Linked DNA regions of Bombyx mori. The protein of the gene in region 2 binds, or shares a complex with, the protein of the main gene of each other region. Links are inferred from orthologs where the notes say so. Each region holds a gene or a part of one and is shown on either strand. Other genes may lie near its edges. The genes, in order: histone PARylation factor 1, poly [ADP-ribose] polymerase and protein timeless homolog.

Region 1 (4,444 bases), on a different chromosome or scaffold from region 2:
GAAATAGCACCGCTGTATTTTTCGCTGGGTATGGTTTCTCTGCGCGGTTGATCCTAATATTTGCTGCTCGACTCGTTCCTCAAAAAATGTCGGACAGGCAGCCAACAACATTATTTAACTAGGGTTTCGATTTTTACTTTTGAATACCAGAGCTCTAGAAACAAGTAGCTGTTATTACATAATAAGTACCTATACTAAGATTGTGTAAAATACTAGAATACAAGAAAATTGTAGACTTTTGGTGCGATCGCGAGGAGCTTAGTTGTGTGCATTGTTTTATTTTGTAAATTTATTGTTTTTTTAGGCGCAAAAGTATAATAAGAGTGCATTATCAGCTATTAAGCTGTGAAAATGCACTAATAGGGAAAATGAACCAAAGCCGCTGGACGTATCTTCTCGGCTTTTTCCAAAGAGTGTGCTGAAAAAGTCTTAGTAAATAAATACGATTTTACTGAAACTTTATTTCAACTCATCTCAATCTCATTTCATTTAATTACATCCCAAATGATGAGTCTTATCTTCATCTCATTACGCTTTATTTAATTTTTCTTAAATTTAACAGAGTAGACAAAACATTATGGTGTGATACCTTCGCTTTTTCAGTTGGAGAAATTGAAAAACAACCTGGTACATAGATAATGTACTATGTGTGAGTATTGTCTACAGTGGTCTCGAACCTACCGATTTTTCGGCATTTCTACTGATATGGGCTCTGTTCTACCGAAATACCGAAATATAACGATTTTTCTACGATTTCAGAGTATACATGGAAATTCTCCCGATTTTTCTACCGATTTGACACTTTTACACATTATTGATCCAAAAAATGTTAAAATTGGCAAAACTACTTCGATACTTCTTAAGAGAAGGCTCTTTCCCAATATTGTTCACAGCAATGATTTCCAGGAAATTGATATAGAGTGGCGCATTTTAAGAAATTGTGAACAAATCAAAACATTTCCTAATGATGTAAAACTATTTTGGGATGAAGTAACTTTACTAAAACGTGGCGATGAAACTCAAATGTTTCCTTTGTTGTCTAATTTCATCCTTAATATTTTCTATTCATCCGCTAACGTTGAACGCATATTTTCACATATTAATCTTTTGAAAACAAAACAGCGAAATGGGCTGTCCACTGAATAAATCACTGGTCTATTATATGCAAAACGACTCTTTAATACAGCTAATTGTTATGATTTTGAAATTAATTCGACGATGACTGCAGCTATGGCCAAACAATATTGGTATAAAAATTTATTATTCTTAAATATGATTGTTATAAATTAGTCTGTTTTTTTTTCAATAAATAAACGACTTCGATTGAATGTTGTATATTTTTTGAAAAATACCGATTTTGGATACAAAATAGTACAAATATACCGATTTTAGTTGGCAAGTCTACCGATTTCGCTTTATGACGTTCGAGAACACTGATTGTCTATGGTGAGTGGAGGCTGTATGGGCTTAGATCCCCTTGCCTTTCCTAACAAGGAAAAATTGTACTAACGAAGAAAAATGTCTATGGTGTTATTTATTTTGCTATTTGTTTGCTATGAGCTAACCTGGTATTAAAGTTTATAAAAAAAATCAAAATGCCTCAGAGTTAACTAAAATTCATACGCAACATTAAGTCCACAAAGGTAATATGAAATCATAAACGTGCAAAATAAATGGTTATTTATTTTGCTTTCAACACTTATTATTTGTATATTTGTACCTAGATGATTCACCTTTATCATTAATCAATGAAAAGCACTAACAAAATTGTGATCTGAACTCCAGACAAACATACCTGCTTATTTACCACTTCTTTTCTTTTTGGAAATTATTTATTTGAAGCGATGTCAGAAGCTTGTAATTCAAATGCTGAAGATTCGAGAACTGTATGCAAATACGGCGAAAAGTGTTATCAAAAAAATCCCGAGCACCACAAAAAATACAAACATCCAGGGCAAGCAGGAGCTTTTGAGAAAAAAAATGAGAAGAATCCCGGAAAGCTCAGAGAAAAACGTTTTAATCCATATTCGAGCGATGACAAACCTGCTAAGCAGCATAAAGTAGGAGATAAAAAACCTGACATCGAATTAGAAAATGGATCTGGTACATCAGAGAGCAGTACAGTAGTAAAGATTGACACGGTTAATCCAATCCACGCACTGAAGCTCCCTAAAAACATAACTTATTATGACAGTTCTGATCATTCAGTACTAAAAGAATTGTTTCTGGTAAAAATGCCTTCTGATTTCTACAAATTTTTCGATTGCTTAAACACTGATGATGCAATTGTTAAAATATGTTCATCTGTGAATTTAGAACTGATTGGGCCCTTTGAGTTGTTGTTAGGAAAATTACCTCAATTAGATGACAAAGAATTATATTTAGTGCACTGGAGATTTTTCTATGATCCCCCTGAATTTCAGGTGAGTAACATCTTAACATATCTTAAAACAATATTAACGCTTGAAAGGCAAACGTGACTAAGCGAAAATGCGTGAACTTTACAGGAGACTAATTTAAAGTTGAAATACCTCAAAAAAAATTTATTTTAACGAATCCAGCTGTAGTAGAATCTAGCTAGTAGCTGTAGGATTGAAATGATTTTAATAGACCTAGTTTTTTTTTTTTTTAACATCGAAAATGGTTATTGCCGTTCATTTATCTACAAAGCAGTTATTGTTGCTTAGTCACTTTTGCCTTTCAAGTGTCGATATGATCCAAAAGGATTTAATATATACAAGTTTTTATTTATTTATTGCTTAGATGGGTGGACGAGCTCACAGCCCACCTGGTGTTAAGTGGTTACTGGAGCCCATAGACATCTACAATGTAAATGCGCCACCCACCTTGAGATATAAGTTCTAAGGTCTCAGTATAGTTAGATAGGGGGATAGGGGGATTAGATATAGGGGGTCGAAGTTGCATAACGTCCGTAGGAGATTACCCACCGCTATCCTACACGTGACCCCTGGGTGGTGCTAATAGTGCAACAACCTGGCAACCGAACTGTCCTCCTGAGGATCTCCCGGTTCCAACTACACTGCGTCAATTATAAAACCCTAATCACAAACTATAAATTTCAATTATAACCACGCAGTGTAAACGAATGCCATACGATAAATAAATAAATAGTATAGTTACAACGGCTGCCCCACCCTTCAAACCGAAATGCATTACTGCTTCACGGCAGAAATAGGCGGGGCGGTGGTACCTACCCGTGCGGACTCACAAGAGGTCCTACCACCAGTAAAAAAACTTAAAGAATCAAACTTAAAGAAACAAAACAAAACAAACAAAGAATCAAAGTAATCTCAGAAATCACTTTGTATACATATAAATTATTGATATATGGTGCATTTGATTGTAAATGGTTATTATCACTCATGGAAGTCTGCAATGCTAGAAGTATAACCAACCTGTGGTCTATCATTGAGTGCACAAACCCTATTTGTAGAAAGACCTCTTATAGTGCCCAGGAAACACAGAGGAGGGAAGTTTATTCCAAAGCCAGATAGTACCTAGCAGAAAATCTCCAGAAACTCACATTGGATGAATGCAGTGGTGTGATGGGAAAAAAATAGTTAATAGGATCATTGTGATCAATTCCTAGAGATCTGCATATGAATCAGTAAGACATATCAGATTAGAAATATCGACATATAGATATGTATAATACAGAAATATAGAATATTTCAGATAGATTGTTGATGACTGAAGAAATAATATAATTTCTTTAATTTTAGGCTGTTTTGAAAATAAAAGGTAAAAGTGAATATCACATTGGATACTTTAGAGATGACCCAAACGATGAGCCAGTCTTCTTAGCGAGCAATGATAGTGCGAAAGACTGCCAAATTAAACCATTGGCTGATAATATTTTTGGGGCTGTATAGCAAGTATCAAAATATTTCTTTTTCATTCCATAATTTTTTTTGTTATTTATCACTTCATTTTTTATTTAAGTCTTAATAAAATTTTAGCAAAAGAATAAGAACATTAATTACTCATATATTTTGGGGGCTTAAAGGATTCCAGATTCTGCTAAAGTCTTTATTAACTCTCCACTGTAACTGGTGGTAGGACCTCTTGTGAGTCCGCGCGGGTAGATACCACCACCCTGCCTATTTCTGCCGTGAAGCAGTAATGTGTTTCAGTTTGAAGGCTGGGGCAGCCGTTGTAACTATAGTTGAGACCTTAGAGCTTATATCTCAAGGTGGGTGGCGCATTTACGTTGTAGATGTCTATGGGCTCCAGTAACCACTTAACACCAGGTGGGCTGTGAGCTCGTCCATCCATCTAAGCAATAAAAAAAGATATTTTTGAGATGTTTAACCTTAAACTGATCTGTTGTACACCCTAGTATGCTATTTTGACAGGGTGAACCATTCTATAACATTTATTTTATTTTTATTTCTTTATGTTTTTCAAATTGACTTTAAAGGTG
Region 2 (3,653 bases):
TATAGTTACAACGGCTGCCCCACCCTTCAAACCGAAACGCATCACTGCTTCACGGCAGAAGTAGGCAGGGTGGTGGTACCCACTCGCGCGGACTCACAAGAGGTCCTAGCGCCAGTAAAAATCTCGTTACCTGTTCTCTTTATTATGTTTCAAGATCTGCAGTTTGTAGAAGGAGTTCTTCTGAGCGACAACATCAGTGAGCGAGAGCACGACCGAATACGTTGTTTTGTAGCGGTCCGTGTACACGTGGCACTCCTCGTCCAGTTCCGATGCCGGGTCCACAGCGTTGCCGTCTGCACATACACAACATGTATTGAAACTTGTACGCATTTTATATACATTACGCACAAAACTGAAGCTTCGAAATCGAATGAAAAAATCGAATTTTCTTTTCAACTTTTCTTATAGAAAAAAAAAACAACTAAAGTTATAGTAACCGGCAAACATCTTGAGCAAATGACCTTGACTGCGCAGAACCGAATTTTAGATCACTTTGGTGGTGAGGGTGAGGCGCGACGGCAGGAGAAATCGTATCGAGCGCGTTATTGGTAGATCAGTCGAACCTTGCGCCCCGCACCGCGCCCTCGTTCCGCTTGCTCCCAAAAGTACGCTTGCGTATAGTGAAAAGTCTATCGTTATTAATCGTTACGTTTTTTGTTATAATTGCTTGTTGACTTTGTTGCCATTGCTATTTGTTAAGTGTTTGTTGATTTTTTATAAAAAAATACACTATGCAATGACAAACTGGTGTAGTATTCAAAAGAAAGGGTAGAAAAATTGTGTACGACGTATATTGCTTCATTATAAAACAGGGGAAGAATGATATGGAAAAAGTAAAACAGACTTCGGAAGCAACAAAAACATCAGTGAGTACTGTTAGGTGCATTATTAACGAAGCTAAAGGCTCTGGCTTGCTCGCCGTGTTTCGGACTCCGAGGAAGAAAAGATCAGGGAAGAAGAAAGTTACCGGAATGGATAGTTTCGTTCAATCTGTAATAAAAAGATGTAATCATAATAACTACATAACAAGCAGCGAAACTCCTTACCGTAGAAAGGCTTCGAAAAATTTAAAGAAGATATACATTTTAATGGCTCGGAATGAAGTTTACGACGAATTATGAAAGAGCTAGGCTTCAGATGAAAAAAAAACAGAAAATAATCGAAAGCTGGTAATTGAAAAAAGTAACATTCGATTACTACGAATCGAATATCTTCAAAAAATAATTAATTATAGACAAAAAAGAAGATCGAACCGACCGAGTTGTAAACTACACCGATGAGCCCTATGTCGACTCATCACGATGATGGCGACTCGGGTGATGAAAACAGTGATGATGATGATGGTCAAGATTATGATAACGAAAAAAAATATACAAATTCCAGCTTCGCTTCAACTGAACCAAGACCTGGCAACAACTCTAGTTTTGACTTAATAGAAGGAATATCTATTTTACCCCAAGATTAAATTATTACAATCATTAACCAATATTTTTTGTTGATGTTCTAATAAATATATAAAAAAATACATATATGTTGATTTTAATAATTTAATTGCATTATGACGCAGAGTAAATAGTGTTTTTGCACGTGAGTGTACCATGCGCAAACTTACCCCCACTACGTCAACAAATGCTCAAGAAGTTTGCCGGCTATTATACAAACAAAGTAAACACAAACTCGTAAGTAGAGAAAAGATGTTACGTTTGATGAAAGATAGTGAACAATTGATGGTATAGTTCTGATAATGACTTCTACTAGACTACTTACTATATTATTTAAAAAAAATGTATGAATCGTATTTACACTGCCCTTATATTTGGGAATAAAAGTGTGACGGTTGAAAGGATTTTATTTATGATGATGATGAATTCTCGTAGCAAAAGATTTGGATGTAATGATATTTACCGCGGATCTTGAGTTTGACTGCTGATTTTTCAGACTTGACATACATGCTTTTACTCTTGGGTATCGATTTTCCATCAATAATATCTTGGGGCAGCTTAGAGGCAGGCTTAAAAAAAAACAAAAAAATATTACTGGATGAAGAACAGCTGTAATAAAATATTGTAAATGTTCTGTAAATTCATAATTATTATTGTGCATTTTTATATTTGTTGAATAGGTTACGAGATTTTTTTGAAAGGTCTACTGAGAGCAACTGCATTATGAAAATGCACTGTCGAACAACCCCGCCATATATTTTTATCGGTCCATTTTTGTTTTATTAAGATTACATGACCAATAACAAAAAAATCAAAAAAAGTATAACGGATATTGCTAGCTACAATTTTTACATTGCCATTAAATTTTGTTGCATCACTAAAATCTAAAAATTTAACATTGAATTTCGAAAACCATAGAACATTATGTGGTTCATCACCGTTTATTCATATAAGATCGACGGTTAACGCGTTAATGATTTTGACATTAAAAAAACCTTACAAGTTGAGTTCAGACTTTTGTTAAATTTGGTAAGCAGCTCAGAATAAAAAAATAAAAAAGAATATGTACTTTGTTGTTATTGTTGGTATTACAATGCAACTTTTTACATAATACATCATACAAGACACTAGAGTCATTCATTCATCAAATGGGTGTATTCCATATATGTATTTAGGTACATACATACACAGCAAATTATGGCCGATTTACACTATTTCACGATTTAAAAAGTCGTATTTAGTAACTTTCTGGCTATTTTGTAGAACAGAATTATTGCTGATTCATAAGCTATATTTTAATATAATTTCTATTAAAAAATACCAACTCACATCAACACCCCAATCGGCGATATTATATTCTTTCATTAACTCCAGGGATCTGGCTACAGTTCCGGTCTCAGGGTCAATCGAATTTAGAAAACTTTCATCTAGAACCTGTTAATAAAATTGTTATTATGCAGAGTCACTTTTATTATTTACATGAATTTTTGAAGAAATAAAAAACTGTCAAGAGATTTTTTAATTTTATATTCTAAAATCATGCACTCAATATTCCACTAGAACCGGCTTGCTGGGTTTATTTTGAAAAGTTAAATTATATTTGCAATATAAAGTAAAAACGAAAACAGAACTTTTGAATGACCTGTTATATACGCTGATAATGTTAACAACGGGTGAATTTAGATGTGATTTCAATATAGAATTAGCCTTATTGCAATACATTGTGTTAGCACAATAAAAGCACTTTAAATGTTCGTACTTACTACAATATCTAGATATTGTATGGATTGCATTTTAGAAGACATTTTCTCGACATCCGCTTTAGTAGAGATGACTGCGACCGTAGCTTCAGACAGTTTACTGACGGGGTCTCCTCCGAGCTTGATAATGCGATTCTTGATATTCTCCTTTTCATTCTTCTTCAATGTTCCGTAAATGAAGAATTTCAAGTTTTTCAAAGGCGGCACACGGATTTCTTTTTTTACTCTGAAAAAAAGTTATAAATTTTTCTTTCACTGATGCATACTTAGAGAGGCCTGTTAAAATGTTTTAATATTATAAAGGAAAAAGAACGCGTGGAAATTGGTCAATGTGACCTAATTTTGAATTTAATGACAGTATTTTCCGAGGCTTGACGAGTGCTCGTATCGAAGAAAATAAAAACGGTAAGCAAAACGTTGTAAAAGGAAATGAATACAAACGGGAGATTAA
Region 3 (3,653 bases), on a different chromosome or scaffold from region 2:
CATACAGACACACTTCTGTTACAATTTAACAGAGATTTTGTACCACAATTATCCGTGAAAACGAAGAGTATTCGAAATAGCATAAATTATGATGTGTACGAAATAAACTTCCTTTTTCTCCATCTTATCCCACTAGATGGGGTCGGCACAGCGAATTTTTCTATTACATTCTCTTCTATCAGCCGTCATCTCAACACTCACTCTTCTCTCTCTCTCTCTCTCTCTCTCCCTTTCATGTCGTCATTCACACACTCCATCCTCTTCCCCTCTACCTTGCACTATCATTTCCATACATCTCCTAGTCACATGCATCTTCTGTCTACGCTTCACATGTCCATACCACGCTAACCGTCGGCTCTTTAATTTGTTGCTTACCGTGGCTACTTTCACACTTCCTCTGATATACTCATTCCTTATCTTATCCACTCTTGTCACTCCTTACATGCTTCTCAACATTCGCATCTCCACCTCATGCAAACGCTAGATTTATTCGAAAAGTATTTCAAAATACCTGTTCATCATTAGGCGGGACCACACCGATCCCCAGCAGTACTTGTTTGAAAAGTTCTTTGTCCATGGCTTCGGTTGACTCATCGGTTATGGGCACCAGCGGTGTGCCTTCAGAGTTCGGATCGTAGCCCTCCGCTTCTTGGTCCAGGGCTAGTTCTTCTAGATTTTCCGCCAGCCATTTTAATGCTCCGGATAATCCTACAGAGGAATTTAATTTTTCGATATTGTCATTAAAGAAATGAAATAGTATTGTGGCACTTTTTTATTGCATAGATTGGTGTGGACGAGCTCACAGCCACCGGGCGTTAAGTGGTTACCGGAGCCCATAGACATCTACAACGTAAATGCCGCCACCCACCTTGAGATATGAGTTCTAAGGTCTCAGTATAGTTACAAGTTAGTTAGAAGAAGTTAGAAACTTTATTCACAACTCGCTGAGTTTCTTGCCGGATCTACTCAATGGGTAGATTCCGAACCGGCAGTAGATTCTTTTTTTTTTCCTACCTAAGCTGATAGCTTTGAGAGGCTATTTCAGCGGAACTTTAACTAGTAGAGCTCACGGGGCTTAAGCCGGAGTGATGCTAACACCGGCCCTAGCAAGAGCAGTGCTTCGCAGAATCTACCACCGGATCGGAAACACAACCCACTGAGAAGATCCGGCGAGAAACTCAGTGGGCTGTGTCTATGGGTTAATTCGAAGGGTTCGCGGTCTGCTCTCAACATCTGCAGATCGTTGAGTCTCACATACCCCGCGCGCCCCCTAGGCGCGGGGACCTCGTAGGAGGTTCGGCCCTAGGCCCGAAAAAAAAAAAGGGTAGGGTATAAAAAAAACTTTTGATGCGAGTACCCACGATTTACAATTATCAGAACGGACGAAACATGTGGGAACACAAACAAACTAACGAATGTTATATCAATAACGTATTAAGTTTGATTATTTTAGGAGGATCGAAAGTTTTTGTTCGGTCCTGGGGCAGGTATCGGCTTTCCAAATTAATTCTGTAACTAACGCACGTTCACGAACGACTTTAACTGGGACTATAAGAGTTACACTAACGAAACTGTATACTACCAAGACTGTATGATGAATATACGTGACAAAGCTCCTGTGACAGTCAGTGAAAGATTTACGCTTAGGTCCGTGAGGTCCGGCCCTAGGACGGCATCATTTGAGGTGCGGCAAAATTTTTGAAATGCCAAAATTTCAGAGACGAATACCAGTAAAGTTATTTAAAATATAAAATATAAATATTGGATAAAAATTTTGTTGTAAAATTAAGGGCGGCGCGATAAACAAGGACTTGGGCGGCATCAAACCTAAATCTGTCACTGGTGACAATAGAAACAAACGTAACAAAACATTAAAATTATTGTTGTGAAATTTGTTCTTCAAATGCGAATCTTAAGAACGTCTATTCAAATAATTTGATCAAATTGGCTCGCTCAAATAGTTTGATCAAATTGGCATGATCTTCTAAGCAACCACAAACCTCCACGCAGATTTGAAGCGGCGTCAGTTCAATATCAAAGCGTCCAAAGAGTTGTTGTGCTTCTTTAAAAATCTCTAAAGCTGATTAAATATAATGATTAATGATAAATCTAGGCTACGGTCTGCACTTGGGTATATTTCTTAAAAAAAAAATATTAGTTTACGATAAGTAGCATTCCGCTTATCTCTATTATGGAGGTGTTTATTTTTTATATTCTATAAACATGATTCACTTCTATATATTTGTATGAATTCTTCTAATACATCGCGGTTCGACATTATGCAATGCAGCACATCCGCACAGGAACACTTCCGCAACATCAACTGAGCGCTCGGAACACACACTCTCAAATTTTTAATCAAAGAGTTTGATCAAACTGTTGGACCAACAAAAATACGAAAGTTCATATTTTTTCAAGCTATTTGATTGCTCATTAAATTTGATCAAAATTTCCAATAGACATTCATGCCAATTAGATGATCCATGCCAAACTCTCTGAACAAGCCAATTTGATCAAATTATTTGAAAGTCAATGGGCCCATTAGGCGCTTATTGGTGGTGGGGTGTGAAGTGGCCTCGTGTTAGTGATTTTAATTTTGTTGAGTGATTAATTATTGCAGTCGATTTTTTTGTCCTACCTATTGGCTGATTGCCTGAGGGGCTATTCCAGCTACGCTATGTCTGGTAAGGGCGCTCACGGATTAAACCTCAGAGAGTGAGCTAACACTGGCCCTAGCAAGAGCAGTGCTTAGCAGAATCTACCATCGGATCAGAATCGCGACCCACTGAGAAGATCCGACCAGAAACTCAGTGGCTTGTTTGTGGTTACCTAGCCGACGTTCCAAGCCACTGGACGATCGGACTATTAGGCTATTATTATAATTTTCATCAGTTTTTGCTACTTACCGTTGTCGACGGCGCTGACCAACAACTTGGCGACTTGGCTCGCATTCAATTCCACGCGTTTAGCTTTTGTCTGATTTTTTGTTTTGCGGGGCTTTGGTGCCGTCTGTTTGGACGGGAACGACGTGCGTTTGGTATCGCTCTCCGATTCGGATCCCGAACTAGAAGATTCATCGTCTGAAACATAATATTTCTAGTGATTTAATTTTAGTCCTATTTGAAAATTTCAGATTAAATAACGCGAAAAGTTTCGCTGCTAGAATTGCCAAAGAAAAAAACAGATGAAATTTGATTAAAGTCGACGGTTACAATTTCAGGAAAATCAAGTTTTTGAAGGTTTTGTTTAAATTTTGGTTATTATCAAAATTATTATAGTTATTCAGATATTCCTGGAAGTTAGTAGTAAAAGGCATATTTACTATTACAAAAATCCTTCTGTTTGTTTTTATTTTCCATTTATTAACATAAACAAATATGTTTAAATTGCTCAATAGTCATAAAACTTGAAGAGCAACGCGCCATGTCGTTTTCAAGATCCCATTTACGTTGATAATAAGATAGAGAAAATATAAGGAAAGTAAGGAACAAATTTCACGCAGGATTTACTTTCCAATAGTCTATTTGAGACTTATTGGAAGGCTTCAGAAAAAAAAGTTTAAGCCTGTACCCGCCTAATGAGAGAACGGAAAGACGAGCAACGGGCTCTGACACGAAAATAATCAGTGCATTACATTTTGACAACGGAATAGT

Evidence for each region.
Region 1: the proteins of poly [ADP-ribose] polymerase (region 2) and histone PARylation factor 1 are in contact, whole or in part, in a crystal structure (PDB 6M3I), measured with the Homo sapiens proteins. The link is inferred for Bombyx mori from reciprocal best matches to the Homo sapiens genes PARP1 and HPF1. Residues at the interface, in NP_001609.2 of Homo sapiens: Thr825, His826, Asn827, Ala828, Arg865, Met890, Lys903, Asn906, Tyr907, His909, Ser911, Gln912, Gly913, His934, Lys953, Ser983, Leu984, Leu985, Tyr986, Glu988, Thr1011, Ser1012, Leu1013, Trp1014; in NP_060337.2 of Homo sapiens: Asn234, Val236, Asp261, Arg264, Leu265, Phe268, Gln272, Glu273, Thr276, Phe277, Gln279, Phe280, Asn282, Asp283, Glu284, Cys285, Tyr287, Tyr304, Lys307, Val308, Gln311, Leu315, Leu319.
Region 3: the proteins of poly [ADP-ribose] polymerase (region 2) and protein timeless homolog are in contact, whole or in part, in a crystal structure (PDB 4XHU), measured with the Homo sapiens proteins. The link is inferred for Bombyx mori from reciprocal best matches to the Homo sapiens genes PARP1 and TIMELESS. Residues at the interface, in NP_001609.2 of Homo sapiens: Gln846, Lys849, Pro850, Phe851, Leu854, Arg878, Ile879, Ala880, Pro882, Asn928, Lys940, Lys943, Gly944, His946, Tyr992, Asp993, Ile994, Ala995, Gln996; in NP_003911.2 of Homo sapiens: Asp1036, Gln1040, Pro1043, Val1045, Pro1046, Leu1047, Thr1048, Glu1049, Glu1052, Glu1053, Glu1056, Ser1074, Gly1075, Gln1076, Glu1077, Thr1078, Phe1079, Arg1081.

Annotation. Positions count from the first base shown.
Region 1 is NC_085119.1:13,717,720-13,722,163, forward strand, and holds the start of histone PARylation factor 1, read left to right. Parts: upstream 1-1,507; 5' UTR 1,508-1,844; coding exon 1,845-2,423; intron 2,424-3,743; coding exon 3,744-3,892; intron 3,893-4,444. UniProt on the Homo sapiens protein: Cofactor for serine ADP-ribosylation that confers serine specificity on PARP1 and PARP2 and plays a key role in DNA damage response.
Region 2 is NC_085128.1:12,954,217-12,957,869, reverse strand, and holds part of poly [ADP-ribose] polymerase, read right to left. Parts: intron 3,429-3,653; coding exon 3,206-3,428; intron 2,877-3,205; coding exon 2,772-2,876; intron 2,012-2,771; coding exon 1,906-2,011; intron 294-1,905; coding exon 131-293; intron 1-130. UniProt on the Homo sapiens protein: Poly-ADP-ribosyltransferase that mediates poly-ADP-ribosylation of proteins and plays a key role in DNA repair.
Region 3 is NC_085115.1:6,751,035-6,754,687, forward strand, and holds part of protein timeless homolog, read right to left. Parts: intron 3,081-3,653; coding exon 2,907-3,080; intron 709-2,906; coding exon 512-708; intron 1-511. UniProt on the Homo sapiens protein: Plays an important role in the control of DNA replication, maintenance of replication fork stability, maintenance of genome stability throughout normal DNA replication, DNA repair and in the regulation of the circadian clock.